Astyanax mexicanus: one gene and its partners. The protein of the gene in region 1 interacts with the protein of each later gene in a pairwise test. Links are inferred from orthologs where the notes say so. Each region holds a gene or a part of one and is shown in the gene's direction. Other genes may lie near its edges.

Evidence for each region. The genes of interacting proteins can lie anywhere in the genome.
Region 2: the proteins of bend7 (region 1) and usp20 interact in binary tests that used the Homo sapiens proteins (3 or more experiments, as listed by UniProt). The two-hybrid records come from large-scale screens. The link is inferred for Astyanax mexicanus from reciprocal best matches to the Homo sapiens genes BEND7 and USP20.
Region 3: the proteins of bend7 (region 1) and nkapd1 interact in binary tests that used the Homo sapiens proteins (3 or more experiments, as listed by UniProt). The two-hybrid records come from large-scale screens. The link is inferred for Astyanax mexicanus from reciprocal best matches to the Homo sapiens genes BEND7 and NKAPD1.

Annotation. Positions count from the first base shown.
Region 1 is NC_064416.1:15,392,804-15,399,644, reverse strand, and holds the start of bend7 (BEN domain-containing protein 7), read left to right. Parts: upstream 1-3,832; 5' UTR 3,833-4,146; coding exon 4,147-4,210; intron 4,211-5,672; coding exon 5,673-5,747; intron 5,748-5,914; coding exon 5,915-6,190; intron 6,191-6,841. Other genes in the region: prpf18 (pre-mRNA-splicing factor 18), read right to left, coding at 728-805, 1,942-2,007.
Region 2 is NC_064408.1:16,875,278-16,883,006, reverse strand, and holds the start of usp20 (ubiquitin carboxyl-terminal hydrolase 20), read left to right. Parts: upstream 1-4,708; 5' UTR 4,709-4,851; intron 4,852-7,729. Other genes in the region: c1h9orf78 (telomere length and silencing protein 1 homolog), read right to left, coding at 384-581, 680-757, 883-953, 1,829-1,880, 2,005-2,064, 3,474-3,556.
Region 3 is NC_064425.1:3,339,462-3,347,388, reverse strand, and holds the start of nkapd1 (NKAP domain containing 1), read left to right. Parts: upstream 1-4,906; 5' UTR 4,907-5,014; intron 5,015-6,637; 5' UTR 6,638-6,644; coding exon 6,645-6,713; intron 6,714-7,155; coding exon 7,156-7,259; intron 7,260-7,363; coding exon 7,364-7,516; intron 7,517-7,927.

The DNA of each region.
Region 1 (6,841 bases):
AAACTGAAACATTTTATTAATTTAAAAAATGTTCTACTGCAAAACATCAAAATTATACTGTTAGTATAGTGTAGTGTAGTATAGTGTAACACTTTAAACATACCGTAGAACTTACCATGAGTCTGATTTTGTGTGAAATAATAATATAACAAAATAATGTAACATACGAACAATGTAATGTACCACAATACTAAAGTGCTGAATATTTATTAATGCACATAAACTGCAAAAAAAAAAGAGTCATACAAAAAGCATTAACGCTTCACAGTATATAGAATACTTTTAGGACATAATACTACTATTATCAAAATCTAACTATTTATCTATGGGGTTTGTTAATTAATTATTTTTACAAATGTCTGTAAATGACAACTGCATGTCTAGGTATATCAAGGTACTTGCTTTTATACCCCTGAATTCAATAATTAAAAGTGTGTCCCAATAATGTTGTACTCTTGTCCATAAAGTGTATGTTTTTAATTCAAATATATGAGTGTAAATCATCGATAATCCAGTAAAAACCTTCATATCAAAAACTTCTACATAAACATTGTTTTACAATGGCATCACACAAAAACCCACCTGAAGCACCTATAGTTTTAAGAATGTAAGTCAGAGTATCTGACCAAAGTCAGAACCAGAAATAGACATCACCTCTAGTAAATGATTATTAGCTGTTATTTGTGAGAATTTAGTAAGAGATCAGTAATGCTGAGTGTTCACTAACCTTGTAGCCACATCTTTTGTAGTATTCTTCTTCCTCCTTTCGGGCTAGATCAGCACGCTTAAAGTACTTCTTTGAGCTCTAAAAAAGTAGAAGGGTAAAGTGTTATTATGACATGTTTGGGTTAGTGATAGACACAACAAAATAAACACTCAATAAATATCAGATCATTTAATATTAAAATGACTTCTGGGCATTTAAAATGGATTAAATCTGTCAACTGTTTCTATCATTTCTATCAGTTATCAAACCAACCTTGTCTAACCGTCTCTAAAAGGGCCAAAGACAGATATTAAACAAACAACCATTCTAACCAGATTTAACTAGGCCAAACCCTAACTGGATCTAATCGGGACAAACCAAGTTATCAAATCATCAAATTAGTCGACTCTCATTAGTTGCAGCCTTAATCCATAAAAACAGCTGTACATGATACAACTGTCTGAGCTCATAATCCTCCTCTCTATTACACTTGTTAATATAGTTTTAATATATTTAGTAATATGTTTAATGTAAATAAATCTAAATCCTTGCTTAACGTCCATTCTTGATTAATTTTAAACAATATAAACATTAGCTGGACTTTTTAAAGTAGCTCCTAAGGTGACCTCGTGTTGAACATAAATGTTTAATTAGATCTCGTTCTTTGGCTTTTACATCAGCTGGAAAACAACAAAATCGCCGGGTGCGTTCCAATCCGCGTTGTGTATCCACTACATAGTAGGCTACACGTATCTAGTGCATTCTAGAAAAATCGTAGGTCTAGTATGAGTTAAATCTAATCATATGTACTAGATACTGATAGCATACCAAATGCGTACTGGGACACATCATTTTATATGCGTTTTCTGAACAACTGAGTAGAACTAACGGGCTGTGAGTGGGTTTAGAACTCTAACCCTAGTGCAGTAGCTACCAAGTGTAGTTGAATCTAGTGAACAACGTAGTGTGCAGCATGCTAACGCTAGCTAGCTAATGTGCTAAATAGCAACTGGTAGCCTCTTAGTCCAGACTTTCTCGCACTCGCAGGAGTAACAATGTGAGTGTTCAGCGCTGATAGCTAACATTAATTTAAAAAGGAACCAATCAGCTAGCTAGCCAGGTTAGCTAGCTGGACAACACGCCACAGACAGATGCAGCTCAGATTGGAGCACAGCCGCCGTATGGAAAACTCCAGCGCTACCACCGTGAATAAAGAGCTTGTTTTCATCACTCACATCAACCAGCTGTTTCTCCTCCATCAGCTTCCTCTTCCTCGCGATCTCGGCTTTTAGGATATCCATGTTTATGAGCGCAGAGTAGCGGGTTTTCGCTAAACACGCTGATTTTGAATCCTACAGCTCCCAGACTGTTGTGGAAGTTGTATCCGGTGAGTTCCTGCCTGTGTTGGGGGCCGCAGAACGCGGTGGCGCTCTCTGGCGACTCCCACTGGAATTACAGACACAACCCTGCTACACGTTTTTATCATTAACACATTTTCTTTATCTGATGTACAGTTCCAGACAAAAGTTAATACACACTTAAAATACAGTTGTATTTTATTACAGCACACATTACCAATTTACAGTCAAAGGTTAGGTCTAAAATTAGCTATTTTCAGATCTGAATTATTTCCAGTAATGGAAAAAATGTAAGAATGCTGTTTTTGTCCGTTATGCACTAAAATAAATAATATTAGTAATATTCTACTATTAAATCTATATAGCAAATAAATTCTATTAACTAAAATATTTAATACTTTTTTATTTCTATTGAGCTTTTCATTTCATAAACCATCCCTGAACAGTAAACATACAATACAAAAGTTGGCATATGCTTCTTTATTTCAATTTTAAAAAGCATAGAGAGTGGAAAGCTCTTTTTAATTTTACATTTATGAATATAAAAAATAGCTAACATCCACATTAGAAGGCTTTAGTTTTCTCTTTTGAATATCTTTTGCAAACATAAATGAAAAACATTTTTGAAAAGTGATTCCAATCGATTTTCAAAAAGATTAAATATTTTTTAAAAGTGATTTGAATCGTTTGAAAAAAAAATATTTTCGAAAGATGGTTGCAATCAGTTCACATTTAAGCGCTGGTTTATGCTTGGCAGTGATTATATGCAACTGTGATTATTTGTATTTTTTTATATATATATTTCCATTTATCTTTGAAAAAAGTGACATTTGTGTGAAATCAGTGTTTATATTCTAGATGACAAAAGGATAGCAGATCTCCTGTTTTTATCACATATTAATATTTATTAGTTATAAGTCTTGGGTTCGATGTAAGGTGGTTGGATGTCTCTTTTATCAAAAAGAAAGCAGGATGGTGACGGATTACCAACAGATATTTAAACAAATAAACAAACCATATTTTTCTTTTTACTGTTGCAGTACTAGGATTTTAAATCCTAAAACATTTTAAAACTATTAAAATCTATTAACCATTTAGTTTATTATGTCAAATAGAAAGCTTATATTTATATAATTATGTTGTCCTAAATTTAAAAAGTAGCTGGAGTTTTAAAACCATTCACAGAGATACCATTATTGATTGGAGAAAGCGCAGTGCAGCGCCCTCTTTTGGTTCTGTGTGTAACTACATGCGGTTGGGTAATACATCACATGTGGTACAAACTAAGTTAAAACTGCCTGACTGGTGGTCACTTGTGGGCTGTTTTAGTAGCCTACAACAGTCGACCCAGGTATGTTGCAAGAAGATACCCCAGCTGGAGATATCAGTCTTATATGTTTCATATACTAAATGCTTCCCTGGACACACTGTGTAATTATTTATTTAAAAGACCATGATCATTATAGCTTTACAGTCTTTTTTCTATTGCCTATACAATGCATCCCATTAATCACACCAACACTGACCTGTTTAAAAAGGATAATGGAAGTGGAATTTGAATTGTGAGATGGATTAATTTGTTAGATAATCGATATCCATGTGAGGTCGAAAATGGATCAAACTTAAGAGAAAACTTAGTTTTTTTGTGTAAAAGTGGTACTTGTCCAGCAGAGTGGATCTGGACATTACTATTTGAGCCCCACAAAATATTAGCTACCATCAGGTGGCGCAAAGGACTAGATGTGACGATTTTTTTAAAGAATTAACTGATTTATTTATTTACATCACAAACGAGCGGCCCTGAATGGACGCCAGCGCGGAGAGCGCGATGCCCCGAGCTCAGACGCGCCTCTGACGGGCTTTGGGGAGCTGTGGCCGGGCAGGGAGGCGGTAGACGGGAGCTGTGGCCGCTCTGATGAGTTTTTACTGATTAAGCAGACGGACCACGGTCGGTCCCTGCAGGGCTGCTGCTGCTGCCACCGCCGCCGCCACCGCCACTGCCGCCGCCGCCACTGCTGCTGCTGATGAACAGGGCGACTCCGGTACCGCCGCGCGCGCACGGTCCGCTCTGTCTCCGGTACAATGGAGTTTGGGGAGAGGAGACGGAGCAGAAAATCTCCGAGCTTTAAACTGGTCAGCGAGCAAGGTAAGGAGGTTTAATGAGCGCAGCAGGGGCGCAGACAGCCAGCCAGCAACAAGCAGACAATAGGAGAGGGAGGGAGGGGGGGGGGGGGGGGGGGCATGAGAGAGAGAGAGTGAGAGAGAGAGCTGCACATTAACTGCATGACCACTAGCATGAAAAAAAAAACACGTCTGTGCTGAAGTGATGCTGATGCTGCTGAAGTGATGCTGATGCTGTTGCTATTGGAGATGCGCGCGCGCTTCCAAGCTTCCGTCTCCCGGGTGGTACCGGCATGTCTGACCGGTTCACCAGGAGAGATTATGATGTGACTCTCCGGACTGAGCCGTTTTAATCTCGCCGTTTTTCTTTCTCTCTCCCGGCTGCTTACAGGTGCGCACGAGACACCGAGTCGTTCTTCTGATTCGGTTCTTTTTTCTCTGAATTCCCCGAACCGATTCGAACTGAATCAACGTTTTATTGCATGTCAGAAATGAAAGGTCTGCAGAAGCATCTTATAGCAAGGAATAATACTTAAACTTATTCCGCTCCATGTATTATAGGTCATAAACTGAATAAAAAAGTGCAATTCAATATTTCTTGTTCATCTGGCATAAAAATTACATTAAGGAGAACAATTTTAAGTTTAGTTTTTTTTTTACAGAGTGCTGGTATAGGTAAAATGACAGAACCCTAAACGGTCTAAAGTAGAAAAACGAATATTTACAGACATAGTCTGATAGACTGTTCTCTATATTTCTTAAACGATTCCCTCAGTTTAGAAAGGATGATTTAGTTTAACCAAGGAAACAAGTTATTAAACAATTGATTAAACTTAGTAAATCAAGGAAATGCTTTAAGAAATCTAAATAATATTTTTATGTTTTGATACAGTATCAGTCAAACATTTGGAGTTTGGACACACTTTCTCATTCAAAGTTTGTCTTTACTTATTTATTTTCTACATTGTAGCTTAATGTTAGAGACATAAAAACAATAAGGGACACTATGGAATTATGTTGTAAAATCAAAAAAGTGTTTGGCCAACTGAGATAGGAGATTTGAGATGAGTTGGAGCTTCACAGCAGGAAAAGCAGCAGCTATTGTTTAGCACCCCCAGAAAATCCTTCAAGACACTGAGAAAACTATTCCAGGTGACTCTCCCTCATGAAGACACTGAGATTAAAATACTAAAAGTGTGCAGATCTTTTCTCTGTTCTTCTCAATTGGATGAGAACAAAAACTTCAAATCTACGGGTGAATCAATGATTCGTTGAAACATTTGCTCCATTGAAAGATTCAGTTCGAAAGAATTGGTTCAGTAAAATGAATCAAACGTTCAAGAATCTGTGTAATGAAGTTATGAAGCTTTTATGGAGATGTTCAAGCACAGTTTCATCCTTTTAGCATTTAGAGTTTCCTGAACCTGTGTATAGTGAACTAAACTTATGTTTAACATAGTAAATTAATAAAGAAACATTTCCCACAGACTATGGGCCTGGATTTGACAGCCCTGACCATGATGACACAGACAGTGAACCACTGGACATATCAGAGAATGAAGGTACTGTTCCCGATATTGCTTTTTATTTATAACTACATGCTGTTTTTACGTATATAGGGTAATTATACAGCATTTAGAACTAAACTAAACGTACACTTACACATTGTACACATTGTTTGTGTTGTAATATTATTTTACCACCTTTGTGTTAACTATTTCTCTTCCAGCCTGGCTAGGTGACGAGGGTACGGAAATTAAAAAGCAGATCACAGGTATGATGCGGCTGTTGAGTGACAAGTCTGGGCGAGGGTACCAGCGAGTAGAAAGAGAGGGGGAGGCTGTCAAAGAGGAACCCCAGGAGGAGGCTCTGAGCTGGACTTTACCTCAGAACCAAGCCCCTGAGGAACCCCAGCACTGCTGGAGCTCAGCTCCACCCATGTCCCACAGTCAGTACGACACTCGTTCCAAAACCCAGAAGATACTCAACAACTCCAAAAGCAGAGGTGAATCAGAATCACTCTGTTTCACCAGTAATGAGTAATATTACAGGCGTGGGTTACAGTTCTGACACGGAATGAGTCACAACATCTAAACATCTAAAATCTAAACATAAAAAATGTGTTGCACAAGTTTTAATCATGGGAAGTTTTCTAAAATCAACATAGGGTCCAAATTGTACATATAGGATCAAAAGATTTATAAAAAATGTATCTGAAAATTAATATGTTTACTTAAGTAATTAGTTAAGTAGACATTATTTTACAGAATGGTATTTAAATCACTATATAGACCAAATACCGCTAACAGGAATGTCTAAGACATTTGCAGAATCAGAAATCCCATTTTGGTCAGTTGGCATCTCCCAACCCGGTACATAACAGTGTGTTCATGTCCACATCTCTAGTAAACCAAGAACAAGAACGTACTGTGCTGTTATCACCAAGCTAGACACACTGAGATACAATTTACTTCTTGGGTTTGTTCAACAGAGTCTTCAGATTGAGAGATGCATACAAACAGCAGAGCATGGTGCAAAATGTGGCACCTTTGAAAATTAGATTTTAAAGCTCTTTCTCTGAGCAATATGTTTTTATTAGTTTTGTAAAACAAATACTAATAACTAATCAGCAATTCGTAAAAGCAATTTTTTTCAA
Region 2 (7,729 bases), on another chromosome or scaffold:
GGGAACCGTGGTGCTGAATGTTCTTAATCTGTAGATTATCTGCTTTAGAAGGAGAGACATTTCAGCAGTTGTTTTTTCACCTCTTCTAGCTTGATGTGCTTCAAAAACTCTTTTTTCTGTGTGTGCAGGAATGTTCTCTGTTTGATGCATGATACACTTCCAAAATCAAGACTTGAATGAGAGTGAGGACCAACGTTTATGTTCTTGTAACAAACCTTGTAACCATTTCAGTTATATTATACTTTTTACTCTTAAAGGTTGCCAAACTTTTTCAACAAATATGTAATGTTGGATCATTTTACTATAAAATATTTAGCTTTTTTTTATTCTTTTTTCCAGATCAATTAAGTCCTTAAAATAGGAAACCATTCATTTGCACTTACTCAATTCCCAAGTCCACCTCTGGAATGCCACTAAGCATCTGATTGGACAACATCTCTTCTGTTTTTTTGGCAGAATTAACACGGATGCTCTCTGGCAGCTCATACAGGAGGTCCTCTGCATTCTTTGCCTTGATCTTCTGCTCTTCTGCCTCCACTAAACCCTTCTTTTTCTTCAGCTCTGTTTCAATGTACTTCATCCTGAATGGCAGGGAAACAAGCAATGTGTTTGACAAAGAAACAAACAATGAAGAAAGCATTAGATGTGATATAATGCATATACAGGTGTGCATACATACATATCTGCATCTTCATCTCTTCTGTTGGTCTCTGCAGAGAAGGAGGTTCCCAGGTTCAGGTCATTTTCATCCTCAATTCTGGAATGCATACATAGGATAAATTATATATATATAATCTTGTGCACACACATATGTTCACAGTAATAAAATCTACTAACCAAGACAGGCTATTTGATACTATTTTTGATACATTTTAGACTTACTTGTCTCTGTTTCTGTCTTTCACTTTCTTCATGTCCACAACACCTCCTGTCTTGAGCTTAAATGGATCATCCTAGAATAAAGAAGATTAACAACATTAGTTTCCAATAAACTTCTGTACATTTAATCAATTCCGCATTCAGTATAAAATTTATTTATGTATACTAGCTATGTAATAGAACATGAATAAATACTATAAAAATCAAGCAGCATTACACATTGTATTGTAACCACTAGCATGTTAGCTAAAACATGTGGCTAAAAGATAAGGTCTCTGGGAGAACATTTACATTACAATACACAATTACAGGATTTTGTTCAAAAATTGTACTCCTACAATGTTAAAAGATTCTAATAAATATTTAAAATGTTTCTAATAAAAATAACTTGATATAAACAGATCTGCCATAACAATAACTAACAACTCCACACAACCTTAGATGCTCTGAGGTGGAACCTCCATCAATCACATCAATGAACCTTACGTGTCTATGACCCTGTTGCCAGCTCTCTGGATGTCTGCAATGTAATGGCCACTGCATACTATAAAATCTGAGGTTTTTGAGATGTTTAAACCCAGTCATCTAGCCAGCACAACTACCATAGTGAACCCTAAAGATCTTAGTGAAAGTGGCTCAGATCCTTAGCCTTCTCATTTCCTTCTGGTTTTAACACATTAACTGTGAGAACTAACTGTTCTTACCCATCAAAGATGCTACTGTGGATGACAATCGATATTGATGAACTGAGATGTTCTGCTGCAGTTCTTTAAGGCACTTTAAGGCACTTTCAGGCATTTGAGAGGCTTGGGCTTTGATTTGAGTCTTTATTTCAACACAACAGGTGTTGGGATACTCTATTTGTTTCAAACACTGCCACATTCGCAACTAAAGTCTAAAGTCTGTAAATCCATAATTTACACATGTAAAAATGCACATGCAAGCTTACCTCAACCTCTGCTTCCAGCGGTAACTTTTCTCCCACAAGCAATGCTGTCAAACTGTGGAGAAGGATATAAAACATGGTCTAGAAAGCTAGGTTCCCACTGTAGTCATAATATCAAACAATAACGACAATCACAAACAATTAATAGTAGATAAAGGTTATCTTAAACACTTGCATACCTCACGCCACTCTGTCTCTTCCGCAAACTCTGAAGTTCTTTTGCTTCATCCAGTTTCGCCCTGCGGATTTAGTCGTAAGCACAAGATTAGCTCAGACTGCAGACTCTTCAGATATAGAGTAGCAGATTTTAAAGGAAGCTTTAAACCCAACAGCGTGACTCTGACTGTCAGCATTCTTTCCTAAGGGTACTCTCTCAGGTGAGCCTAAATCTAGGGTGCTTGCTGACACTGCTGAACAACATAATCCATTAAATGTACACCACTTCTCCTGTCCCATTTTACTCAGTGAAGATGAGTAGCTAAAGCTACATCCGGTACTCTGCCAGAAGACATTTTAGCCTGAAATGCAATCTTAACCATGCGCCGTAACAAGTTCAAGGTATGTACATGCAGTAGAATTTCGAATTTGAGATATGATTTATAACATGTTTAACAGTAATAGTATCAGACTTACATATTAATAACCATATAATCTATCTAGGGTTTTAGTAACTAAAAACATTGTTACTGCTTTATAAAACTAGAATTTTTGTAATATTATAGATTTTTAGAAAGGAAAATGTGCCATTTCTTAACTTCATCCATTACTTAAAAAAACACTTATTATATTTTATTGTCCTGGGTCATTGTCCTGTTGCAAGACCCATGACCTGCGACTAAGACCAAGCTTTCTGACACTGGGCAGCATATTTCTCTCTATAATCTTTTGATAGTCTTTAAATTTTATTGTACCCCGCACAGAATCAAGACACCTTGTGCCAGATGCAGCAAAGAAGCCCCAGAACATAACAGAGCCTCCACCATGTTTCACAGTAGGGACAGTCTTTTCTTGATATGCTTCATTTGTCCATTTTAAACAAAGAGCTAATGTGCCTTGGCAAATTTTTTTTTTTCTGTCCATAGTATATCCCACGTCCAAAACATTTAACATGCTTCTGTATATGTATATATATATATTTTTATTTCCTGAGAGAAACTCTTTCCTTCGCTTTCTCTGGTCCATGTTGTGTGGTACACACCATGTCACCAAACAGCACAGTGACCTGTAGCCCTATATTTGGCCCACTACATTGTAAGTTTAATATTAAAGATATTTAAGTTACACATAAACATAGGCTGAATTATTTTGTAAAAAGAAGTTAATTTTATAAACAAACACAATATGTTTTATACTTTAGATTCTTCTAAGTACCACATTTAGCTTTTAGATTTACTAGATAGCAGGAAGCTAGTTTAACTTAGACATCTTAAATACTCTTAAATTACAAAATATATTTTAGCTATATAATGCCGATCTGTACTTAATATTCCCAAAGAGTCAGCAAAACGCAGCTCTATCTACAGTTAAGAATTGTTGTTAGCTTTTTATGCTAGGTTAGCTACCCTAGCTTAAGTTAGTTAACTCGCTAGTTCTCGAGCTAACGTTAACCAAACGTTTGTTTACAGTGTAGATCCAGCCGATAGCCCACCTGACTTCAGATGTGACCTCGTTGGATTCCTCTTCATCTGAAGACTCTTCTTTTCTTCTTCGGAAGCTTCTCCCCGCTGGCATGATCACCTTTATACTAATTATCTCACAGCTAACTGTGTAACTAAAGCCGCTACTGCTGCTGGTGTTACTAACTGTACTAACCCTCCGCCCGCTTCACTCCGCAAACCTGCCCCGCGAAAACTCGTTCCCACTCAGATTTGTGTTCCTACCTAAACAACAGCAGCAGCATGAAAATTCAAACTTTGCATATATTACTTTTACCTTTTTGTTATCATATTTGATACAGCTTGATTACTTACTAGCAAATCTAGAACATATATTTGTTTAACCATGAAATGTCTTTAAACTTCACTTTAGTAATTCTAAAGGTATATATTGTTATTACTTATATATTGTCTAAGAATTATTTAGGATTGATTTATTTATTATTATACTATCCTGTAAATGTTGTTTTGTTTAAGTCATTTGTTTGGTTGAATTTCATTATATTTAGTTTTATGACATTAGTTTTGGAGTTCATGTCTAGTTTGGATGTTCTTGGACATTTGGACAGAAACATTAAATGTAAATAACTGTTAATCGTAAATATGTAAATGTAATTGACTGTATTTTAATGTAGTTTGTATTTAGATACACACATACATACATACATACGTATATTAATTTATTTATTTACAAATATATATATATATATTTATTTAATGTAATTTGTACAAAATATGGAAATATCCCTGATTGCATTGTAATGTAATTAGAATGTACACTATTTAATCAAATATATATATAGTTAACTATCATAGCTAAATAACAGTGTGCAGTATATATATTATATTATATTGCATTATTTTGTAATTTGTATTTACATTATTTAATTAAATATATAAATATATACATTCATTAATTATAAAAAAAATTGTTGTTTGTAATATTTTGTAGTTATTTTTATTGGGATGTCGTTAACATTATATGTGCATAACTGCTAATCGTGTACACATAATATGTTATTGATTGTATTGTAGTGTAATTTGTATTTACATTAATTAATTAAGTAATTAAATAAATCAGTAAATACATTTATAAATTAAAAATAATGTTGTAGTTCTTTTATTTATTTTTTATTTGTATTCATTAGTCACGAAATAAAATAATAAAATAAGTAAAGGAAAATAAATAATGAATAGTGTGGGATTGTTGTTGTGGGGGGGAGGCGGAGCTGCCTGGCTCTGCTCTGTGCTCTCTGTGCTAGTCTCTGTTAGCCTGCTGGCTAGCGCAGTGAGATCCTCAGGAGATCGGGAGATTTTCATTTAGACGGAAAATGAACACATTTCAGCCTTTATCCTGGACGCGCTGAGGAGGTAAAGGCTGTATTTAACGCTCCACCTGGATTAATATGGATGTCATTGTGTGTTTTAATGCGTTTTCATGTTTATTTAGCTAGGCTAGCTGAGTCTCTGTGTAATAGGTAACGGTGAGAGAGAGAGGGGTAACGTTAGTTAAATGGCCTCGGCTATGTTCAGACTGAGCTGAGAAAGGTTTATGAGGTTTTATGTGAATATTGTTGATGTATAATTGATCTAAAACACTGTAATTATCCATATTTAACATTATGGTTGAAGCAGTGATGTTGGTTGAGTCAGAATTAGCTAACTTACGTTATATTCCCAGTGGCTGTGCTGTAGGTACTTTGTATAGATATATAGCTATATTGGCTTTATCTTTATTTTTGTGACCATGTAGTCTGAATGTGGCGTATTCAATCAAATTCACAGCGCAGTTCAGCCCTGAGAACCGGGCTGTTTTGTAAAGGTGAAGAACAGCTGCTTGTGTTGAGCTCATGGCTGCTTGGAGGACGTAGTTATCCGTGCCAGGCGAATGAAGCAGCAGTTTGTGTTTTTGTGTGGATTTTTTTTATGTGTGTGTGTGTGTGTACGTGTGTACCTTGTGTTTTATCTTATTTATAAAATTCTAAACACACACACACACACGATTTGCTTTAGTACTTTAGTTACTAGTCTTGTTTTTTGCATTGGCTAAACAATAAGCATCCCCCACACAACACAGAGCTTATAACCATATTCAAAATAAACACTCACAAAATATATATTTTGTGATTACATCTTTTACCCACAACAACATCTTATGCAAAAATTGTATTTCAATTAGGGCTCAGCAAATTGGACCAAAAATAATACCTCAATATTTTTTCAGTGAATGACGATATACAATATATATCTTGATTTTATTGAATCCCATAAGGTAATAACACAAAGACACTTCTGAGACAAAGCTACATTACTCACCATTAGTAAATTTAGCATTCCATTTGGAAATCAAGGGACCAGAGTCCAAAGGAAGAGTGGAGAAGCACTCTGGTAGTTACAGTCATATGAAAAAGTTTGGGCACCCCTATTAATCTTAATCATTTTTAGTTCTAAATATTTGGGTGTTTGCAAAAGCCATTTCAGTTTGATATATCTAATAACTGATGGACACCGTTCTGATGGACACAGTTCTTACCAAGAACTGTCCCTATGGTCTTCCATTTCCTTACTATGTTCCTCACAGTGGAAACTGACAGGTTAAATCTCTGAGACAACTTTTTGTATACTTCCCCTGAACAACTATGTTGAACAATCTTTGTTTTTAGATCATTTGAGAGCTGTTTTGATGAGCCCATGATGCCAATCTTCAGAGGAGATTCAAATAGGAGAACAACTTGCAATTGGCCACCTTAAATACCTTTTCTCATGATTGGATTCACCTGGCTATGAAGTTAAAAGCTCAATGAGGTTACCAAACCAATATTGTACTTCAGTAAGTCAGTAAAAAGTAGTTAGGAGTATTCAAATCAATAAAATGATAAGGGTGCCCATACTTTTGCACCGGTCAAATTTTGGTTTAATGCATATTGCACATTTTCTGTTAGTACAATAAACCTAATTTCAATCCTATATTATTATATAATATAATATTACTGTGTCCATCAGTTCTTATATATATCAAACTGAAATGGCTGTTGCAAACTTTAGAACTAAAAATGATTAAGATTAATAGGGGTGCCCAAATCATCAACAACTGAAAGGCAAGTTATATTACACAGATTCATTGTAAACAACAGCCTTTTCAAATAACAGTTTTCTTCCACAGTTAAAGTATCCCAAAAAGAAGAGACACAAAAAGTTCAGTGTGCTCTTTGAAAAAAGTAAATCTAAAGTTAAAAAAGAGGCTCTCCAGTAAGAAGTACAAAAAAGGGCATGGCAAAATAATTGCGACTAATCAACTAATCGAAAAAATAATCGTCAGATTAGTCGACTAGTAAAATAGTCATTAGTTTCAGCCCTACTGCACAGCAATGCACAAAGCAATGTCAAGACATGGATGATTGAGTTTGGTGTGGAAGAACTTGACTGGCCTATAGAGTCCTGATCTCAAACCGATAAAATATCTTTCGAATGAAGTGTGGAGACTGCGAGTCAGGCCTTCTCATCCAACATCAGTGTCTGACCTTCCAAATGCTCTTCTGGAAGAATGATCAAAAAATCCCGTAAACACACTCCTAAACCTTGTGAAAAGCCTTCCTAAAAGATCTAAAGCTGTTATAGCTGCACAGTGTGGGCCAACATCATATTAAACCCTCTGGATTAACAAAGGGATGTCACTAAAATTCATATACATGCGAAGGCAGGCAAGTACCGGTAAATACTTTTGTCATTATAGTGTATATACCATAAAACCACTACAGTATGAATGTTTCACTTATTAAGCTGCAAAAATGTATTTCATTTTGCCTTACATGACATTGCACATACTGTGATATGACTACTGTGCATACCCGCATGGTGATGATGATGTTGAAATGTTATGTTGGTGTAGCGGTGTGCATGTCCAGCCTAGGAATCAAACCCCACATTTCAGTCACAGGGAGGGTGGTGATGTTATGCCACACCACCATAAGGTCTCTATAGTCCTATATTTAAAAAATTGGAAACTTGTTGGTTGAAGTTGTTAGGTTGTGTTATGTTTTGATTTAGTAAGTTTTAATAAGCTAAATACTGTACAGCAAACTTATTTATTTATTGTACTTGAAAATTGGGCAAGAAAATAAATGTATAGCATACTGTCACATACATGATACAAATAGAAACGAGATGCTTTAATGACTTTCTGATCACAATAATGAGATAATAATAAGATCTAATGTGCAAGAATAATCTGATAAAAAAAATAAGATAA
Region 3 (7,927 bases), on another chromosome or scaffold:
TTCTTTACCATCTGCCAGCAAAAAATAAATAAAAAAATAAGAGATTGTGAGTAATGATTGGGTTCGTCCAAAATGCAAGCGTTTTTTAAGAAGCAGTGAGGTTTGAAGGGATGTGGATTGAGGACAGAGAGACTAAAACTATGTCCTCAGATGTCCTCAGTACCCACATGTTATAACTTGCTTGTTACAACTGTTATATATTGCAGTTTCTGCATTCATCCGTACACTCTTTACTTTAATTCAGGTAGGCTTTGAAAAAGTACAAATACTCACTTTTTCCCTGAGACAATGAATTTATTGTGTACACCCTGGTAAAGAAAATATATACTTAATTGTACTTTAAACATATTGAAAAAACATATTATGTACTTATTTAAAATATATTAAAAGTACATTATTATTATGCTTTCATCAAATGTGCGAAAAAAAAAAAACTTCGATCATACTTTTTAAAAAGTACAATATAACAATATGTATTTAAAATAAAATAGACTAATATGAAGTGCACTTTTAGTTTAATGTAATTCAATATACTTCTTAAATACTTATTTCCAAATATACTTTTGTACATTTTTAGCAAAGTTTGTTAAAAACATCTGTTACAGTAGTTAATACTTAATACAATGTATCATGTGACTTTTTAGAAAGCAAATTAAATTACTACTACTAGTTAAAAAAAGGAAAAGAAAAGTATATTTTAAAAGTATACTTAACATAGTGTCACGGAAATGGGGGTGACCCAGGCAGGGTGACGAGGAAAGCGGACACAAGTGCAGGTAAGGGCGAAATAAATAAATAATTTATTAAATAAATAACAAAGAAACAAGGAAACGAGGAACAAGTAAACATGAAACAAAGAAACACAAATAACCAATAACAAACGAGCGATGATATAATCTAGAAAATAAATAAGGAAATAAACTATAAACGTGAAAACAAGAAATAAACGAGAAACAAATGACTAAGGTTATATACAGGGAACATAGAGCTAAACAAGAAACTAAACTAGACAAGGAGAACTAAACTAAGCAGGGCAAGGGAGAAAACAATGGAAATAAACAGGAAACCAGAAATATACACGAGATAAACAGAGGTAAACACAGAGCAAGGACTTGGGCTATGAAACGCGGTGAAACAACAGAGAGACAAAACAACAGGGGAAGGTGCAAAGACCAACGGAGACAAAGTGGCAGTGGAGGGCTATTTAAAGAAACAGGAAACACTATAATTAGAAACACCTGGGGAAGGGGCGGAGCAACAAATGAGAAACAGGTGGAAAAGTACTGAGACGGGAGACACAGAGGAGCACAGGTCACGTGGGGAAGACACACAGAGACACGAGACGAGACCAGGATGTGACACATAGAAAAGTATATACTTTTTATATATTCACTTAAATACATACTAAATCTGCTATTTTAGAAAAACTTATGGCAACTAACTGTAAGTATATTTCAGTTGTAATTAAGATGTATTTAAACACAACATAAAAGCATTTGATTGTGCTTTTTTGGTATAACTTCTGCTTCTGATGCACTTTAATGTGTGCACGTTAATGCTACTGGGAAAAAAGTGCATTTTAAGCAGTATTTAATGCCACTATATATATTTTCTATCAACACAAAGCAATTTCCTTAGAAATACATTTTATGGAAATACAGAGAAAGTATATTACATTGAAAATGCACTTTTAGTATTCTTTACCTAATTTGAATATATTTTTAATGCTCTTAAGTATACTTCCTTTTTACAAATCACTTTAAGATGAATTATCTAAAACAACAAAGAATGAATCATTTAATTAATTAAATTAATATTTTATATTTACCCACATATTCTTTCCATCTCTAAAACTGAAAGTAATGTTTTTGTCTTTTGCACGGCCAGTTTCCACACGCAGAAATCTCCAATTTGCTGAATATGACGCTGGTGGTCTGCCAGGCTTGGGCTGCATTCTTCAGGACGGATCTTTTATCTTAAGTCTGATCTTCAACTCTCCTCTTTATCATACAATAAGGTGATGGATTTTTCATAAAAGTCCCCTAGATCTGGAATTTTTTCTAGTCAGTGTTAGGAGACAGATACAGTCTGAGTTAAATCTCAGAGTTAAATAAATCTAAGTTAAATATTTTCCATGAATAGCTTTCTCTTTAGTTAAAAGGTGCTGTGGGATTTTATGGATTTAGAGTATTAAATAAAATAACTGTGTTGTTTTAGTCGCTCTCCCACTCCCTCACACTCACATTCCCAGAAATCACCATGCCTTGTGATGGAGACACACTTATCACAGCCTGATAATACATCTTGAGATATATCGTACGAAAAGGTGAATATAGATACTGTGCATATTTTAAGATGTCTTAAAAGACATCCCAAATTGCAAAAGTTGATTTCAGGGAGGTTACCCCCCCCCCCACCACCACCACCCCAAAAAAACAAAACAAAAAAACTTGCACACACACCAAAGGATAACGAAACTTTACTTTTATATTAATTAATTTTACTAAATTAAATTTAGAGTATTCAGAGGTGAAATGAGATTTATCTTTTTTCTTTTTGGAAGGCCCTGCCTCTGCTTTCCTTTTTTTTTTCTTTGGAAAAAAAGCCTTTATTTGACAAAAATTGACAGTTACAATATCACAAAAAAACTGCACAACATCAAAAATATTTCATATCATATTAGAATAATTATTAATATTGCCTCCGCCATGATCTGCTTTCTCTCACTCACTGAACAAATCCCGTCCGGGAGGGGGGGAAAAACACTGCCCGCCCACACTAAAAACTGATTGGCTGTCTCACAGACTCTTTGCAGAGAACAGGCCAATCAGAACCCTCTCTGTTTTCTCTCTCTCCTTCTCACGCGATTAGAGAAAAAAAGTCTGTCACCTGTGTGCGACAGTATCTTTGTAACAAGAGCTCCCCCTCCTGATTTCAACAGGTACTGTATATTTAATGCTTTGTTAAGTTCTGTTCCTTGTTATAATAGTGCTCTTTATAATTACCTGGACTTGTGTATTGGTGAATTGGTGAACAGGGCACGGTTTCAGCCACAGCTTGTGTTTTGTGATGTGAGCTTTCTGATTGTGAATTAATAAAGTTATTTATTATTTCCATGTGCAAGGAAGCAAGAAGGTAAATACAGAAAGAAGGTCCTGTGTTCTGTACTAGTGAATTTCTGTGCAGTTTAAAGGTCTCTTCCCACCAAAATCCACTTTTTGAAGAAAAGAAAAGCCTGTATCTCTGAAAACATTTTCTCCTTTGAGTTTTAGAGCTGTAAAATTGACTGTTGGGGAGGCAGGAAGGCGTTCTCTGCTGCAGTGCAGTTAGCCAATCAGAGGCAATGTATTTGCATGCATGAATATTCATGAGCAAGAGCCAAAACCTGTTTCAGTGTCTAAACCAGGGCTAAATAGAAACACCAAAAGAACAGCTCACATGGCATTCATTAATACTAGAGACCACAACTATAGAAGGCATTACGTTTAACTTTACATTTAAGGCATTTATCAAACTCCCTTACCCAGAGCGACTTAGAAAAGTACTTATTTTTTACTTTGCAAATATCCTTAGCTAGTTGGTACAGGCTACAGTCAAAAAGATATGCCAAACTAGAAGCTGCTAAATAAATCCTGCTAAAAAAAATCCAGTTCAAGGCCAGCCAGCTGGTCATCCAGAAAAAAACAAATCCTTTGCTGGTTGGTTTACTCGTTTACTAACGTTTTCTGGATGATCAGCTGGTCTTGAGCTGGATCTTTAAGTCTTTAAGTCCAGGTTTGAGGCATCTATTTTATCCATATTATGGCAAAAACTTAAAATATATATTTATCCAGCTTTTAGTAATATTTGCATAATCCTAATTATATATTAGTTATGTCCTACAACAAACACATTAACACATTATCACATTTTAATATCTTTGCTATGATTTAAATTGTAATTTGTCCCTTTTTTCCAGTTTTATGTTACATTTTTTTACATTAGCTGTTTTTTATGGTTTGTATGTTTTCTTGCTAACAGAATGATTACAGGTTATTTTCTCATGTTTCATACAAACGCATTAGCAAAAATCACCCTTCAAAGATTTTGATATTGTTTCATCAACAACAATCAACATATTCTCACAGTTTTAAGACATTTGCTCTCCTTAACTGAACGGTACATTCAGATTAATGCTTAGACTGCCCTGGTGAATAAAAAATACCTCCTTAATTGTACCTAAAACATATTGAGAAATGTCTAAGAATGCTGTAAATATACTTACAGATTTATGTACTTACTTAAAATATATTAAAAGTATGTCAATGTTATGCTTTCATCAAATGCTTGAAAGCATTTATTTGAATAAATAGACTACTATAAAGTACACCTTTAGTTTAATGTAATTCTAAAATACTTATGTCCAAATATAGTTTTGTACATTTTTAGCAAAGTGTGTTAAAAAAAACAACTGGTACAGTAATTTACTTAAAGTACAGTGAATCATGTAACTTTTTAGAAAGTAAATTAAATTAGTACATTGGTAAATTAAAAGTTTTTCAGTGCTCTGTGATTGTAATAAGGAAAATATAAATATAAGTAAATTATAGAAAAAGTCTGAAATTTCAAGAAATTTGAAAATATCCTCAAGTGCAGTCACAAAGATCACCAAAAACATTATGATGAAACTGGCACTCACAAGGAATGACACAAGGAAGACCAAGAGTTACCTCTGTTACACAGGATAAATGTTTTTATTTTTTATGCAATTATATTATCATTATATCAGTGGAAGTTAACTGGTCTTAAAATTACAATAATATTGTTTATCGCAATAATAATTGGGATGATATATCGGCCACAAAAAATCATATTGTGTGTTATGTCTGTAGTAGCCAGTAGGTTCCAGTAGGTGTCAGTAGGTGGCAGTATAGAGTCTGTGATTGGGGGAGGAGAGCAGTAGAAGAAGAGCTGTGGGTTGTTGTGAGGAGAGAGAGGAAGACGCCACGTTCACACTACTGAACCGGTTTTAAAGGTAATATAAACCCGCAGGCAGGTTTATAATGTGTATGTGGCGGTGTGTATCTGTGTAACTGGGTGTTTTAATATTGATTTCGGTGTAAATTAAAGCTTAACGAGCTGCTGGTTTAGCAGTAGAGGTAGAAATAGTGTGGGCTAACAGGCTAACTTAGCTTAGCACTGTCAGATCTGCTCAATACTGCAGTACTGTAATAGTAAACAAAGAGCTTCAAATTATATAAGTCATCTAGCTTTAAACCTGGTTATTTAATAAGTGTATTTGCTAGTTTTACAGTTAAAAAGACAGTATTAAAGGTCCTGTTCGTTCTGCACACTTTGATAGCTAGCTAGCATTAGTTTAATTAGATTTAGCTTCTATATAACAGTTGTCTACCTAACCTAGATAGATAGAAAGCTAGTTTATTGAAAATCTGTTAAGAGTAAATGAAGAGAAAATGAAACAGAGCTGTTGAGTCTTCTGTCTTTTATTTTTTTATATAAAGAGCTGGAAATATTATTCAGTAAAGTTTCTTGGAGTGGGATCAATACTAGTCAACAGCAGCTCGTTGACAGTCACGTGTTTTTAATATGCAAAACGTCACCAAGCCGCCATATTTGAGGTATAGTTTCTGTGATCTGTACAGTGAAAATAGTAGAAGTCAACTTGCTTTTATAATCTTTAGAGGATTTAAAGAAATAAAACTGAAGAGACAGAAGTTTAAAAAATAAGAAAATAGTGCCTCCATGTAATTTTGCTTTGGATTAATCTGTTAAATCTGTTAACAACACTGATAAATATGACTTAATTACAACAAGCTGAAATGCTTATTCTGCTGCATCCAGTATTGTAATATTGTAATATTCTGGATATTACAGATTTTATCTTATTTACACCTATAAACACTTCTGAAACTACACTTAAATAATAAAACCCACAGCCTTTCATTTCATGAATCCAGGAAAATATCATTTAAAAGATGTGTACTAAAATCATTGAGTACTTTAATTAAAATAATAAAGAATATATTTTTTATCTTATTTGGACATTTTTTTGAGTATCTTTACAAAGTAAAATATATATCATATATAACATATAATAAAAATTATTATATCAGTGGGACTGATGTGTAATATATTAATATAGAGCAACATATTTCAACAATTAATGTAAAAAATGTCTTAGTTATGTAGTTACTCTTTAAAACATGTTTAAGTAGCCTATAATCTCCTGAAAATAAACTTGCATGCATGTTTGAGTATCTTCTTTAATAGTTTTGCAATGTTAGGTAAATAAAGCTGCAGCTATATACATTTTTCTAGCGTTGTAGGAGATTTAAAATATTTACACATCTGTTACTGACTGATGTTTGTTACAGGGAGCTTGTAAGTTTTTGCTAGTTATTCATTCCTTTTTTTTTGCTTCTCAGCGGAAATTAATTTAAATTGTAGTCTTTGTAGAATAAAAAATAAATAAATTGATGATTAATGTGATTGATTTAGAGGAATTGCAGGGTAAATTCAGCATGGCATTTAACACAAAATCAACCTCAACGTTACATCACCTGTGAGTGACCGATTTTCTATATAAAATTCAGAATGTAGTGTAGTTTGGCACTAGTCATTTGTTCTGTATTTTTAGGGTTACCATGTCGAGAGTTCCTATGGGTAAAGTGTTGCTCCGAAATGTCATCAGACACACAGATGCCCACAACAAGGTATGTTTGCATTTCTCAGAGTCTCACTTATATTATCATTTGGCATTTGATTATGCATTGACATGCCGTGTGTCCTGGGACATGGTTCTAGTATTGTGTCCCATGAAATTTGCCATGTCCAATGAAAGTTAAAGAACACTGCACTGGCCTTTGGGATATGCATATAGGGCTGCAATTAATGACTATTTTAGTAATCGACTAATCTGACGATTATTTGATGTAAAAAGTCTGCACAACTTCAGAAGTGGAACGTCCCATCCATCTGTCACTCACTGTTAGGCTTTGCCTGAACTACGATAATTAATAGGACAATAATACAGTGATAAAGCTCACTAACAAGATAACATCTCACAACTTGTACGGTAAAATATAGCAATTTACGTATTGCAACAACAGACTATTAAATAATGTTTAATGTTTTTTTTTTTTTATCTTCCTGCAGATTCAGGAGGAGTCTGAGATGTGGAAGCTTCGGGACATGGAGAAACAGTCCTCTTCTTCTCAGGCCTCCAAGCCCAGATGGATGACCAGCAGCCATTTGTCCAGGTTTACGTCTGCTTCGTCTCTCACCACAGCGCTTATTTCTTTCAGTGTCTGCTGTTGTATTTGATGTCCGTTTCTCTAGATGACCACATGCCATGCTTTCACAGGAGCAGCATGCACTGTGACAGAGACATGGATGACTCAGAAGGATCAGCACGAGACAGGCTTGGTGAGAAGGGAGGTCTGTCTGAAAGAGACGAGCGAGAGGCTCGGTACTGGAGCCGGAAACTGTACGAGTTTGAAGCAAATGATCCAGACAGGTACATCAGAAGTAGTGTTTCAGATATAACTGGGGCTGAACATATTGATTATTTTAGTAATCGAGTACTCTACTGAAAAATTGATTTGATTATTCGAGTAAACGGATAAAACATATTTGCTTGCCTAAAAAGCAATAAAAAAAACACAAGAGAAAACAAGACATTTTACTTAATAATGAATGACCAATTGGTTTAATTTTTAACATACATTCACAACATACATTTCCACACTGCAAACACAAATAGAAATAAATAAAACACAAAATAGACATAAATACCACAAGTAATACTTTAATCATTAATAAATAAATACATTCAGTTTCATTAATTCAAGTATTAAATATATGGCATTAATCAATAATAACAGCATAATAATTGGCTTTATGTTGTAAATCTTAGCTTTTCAACAGC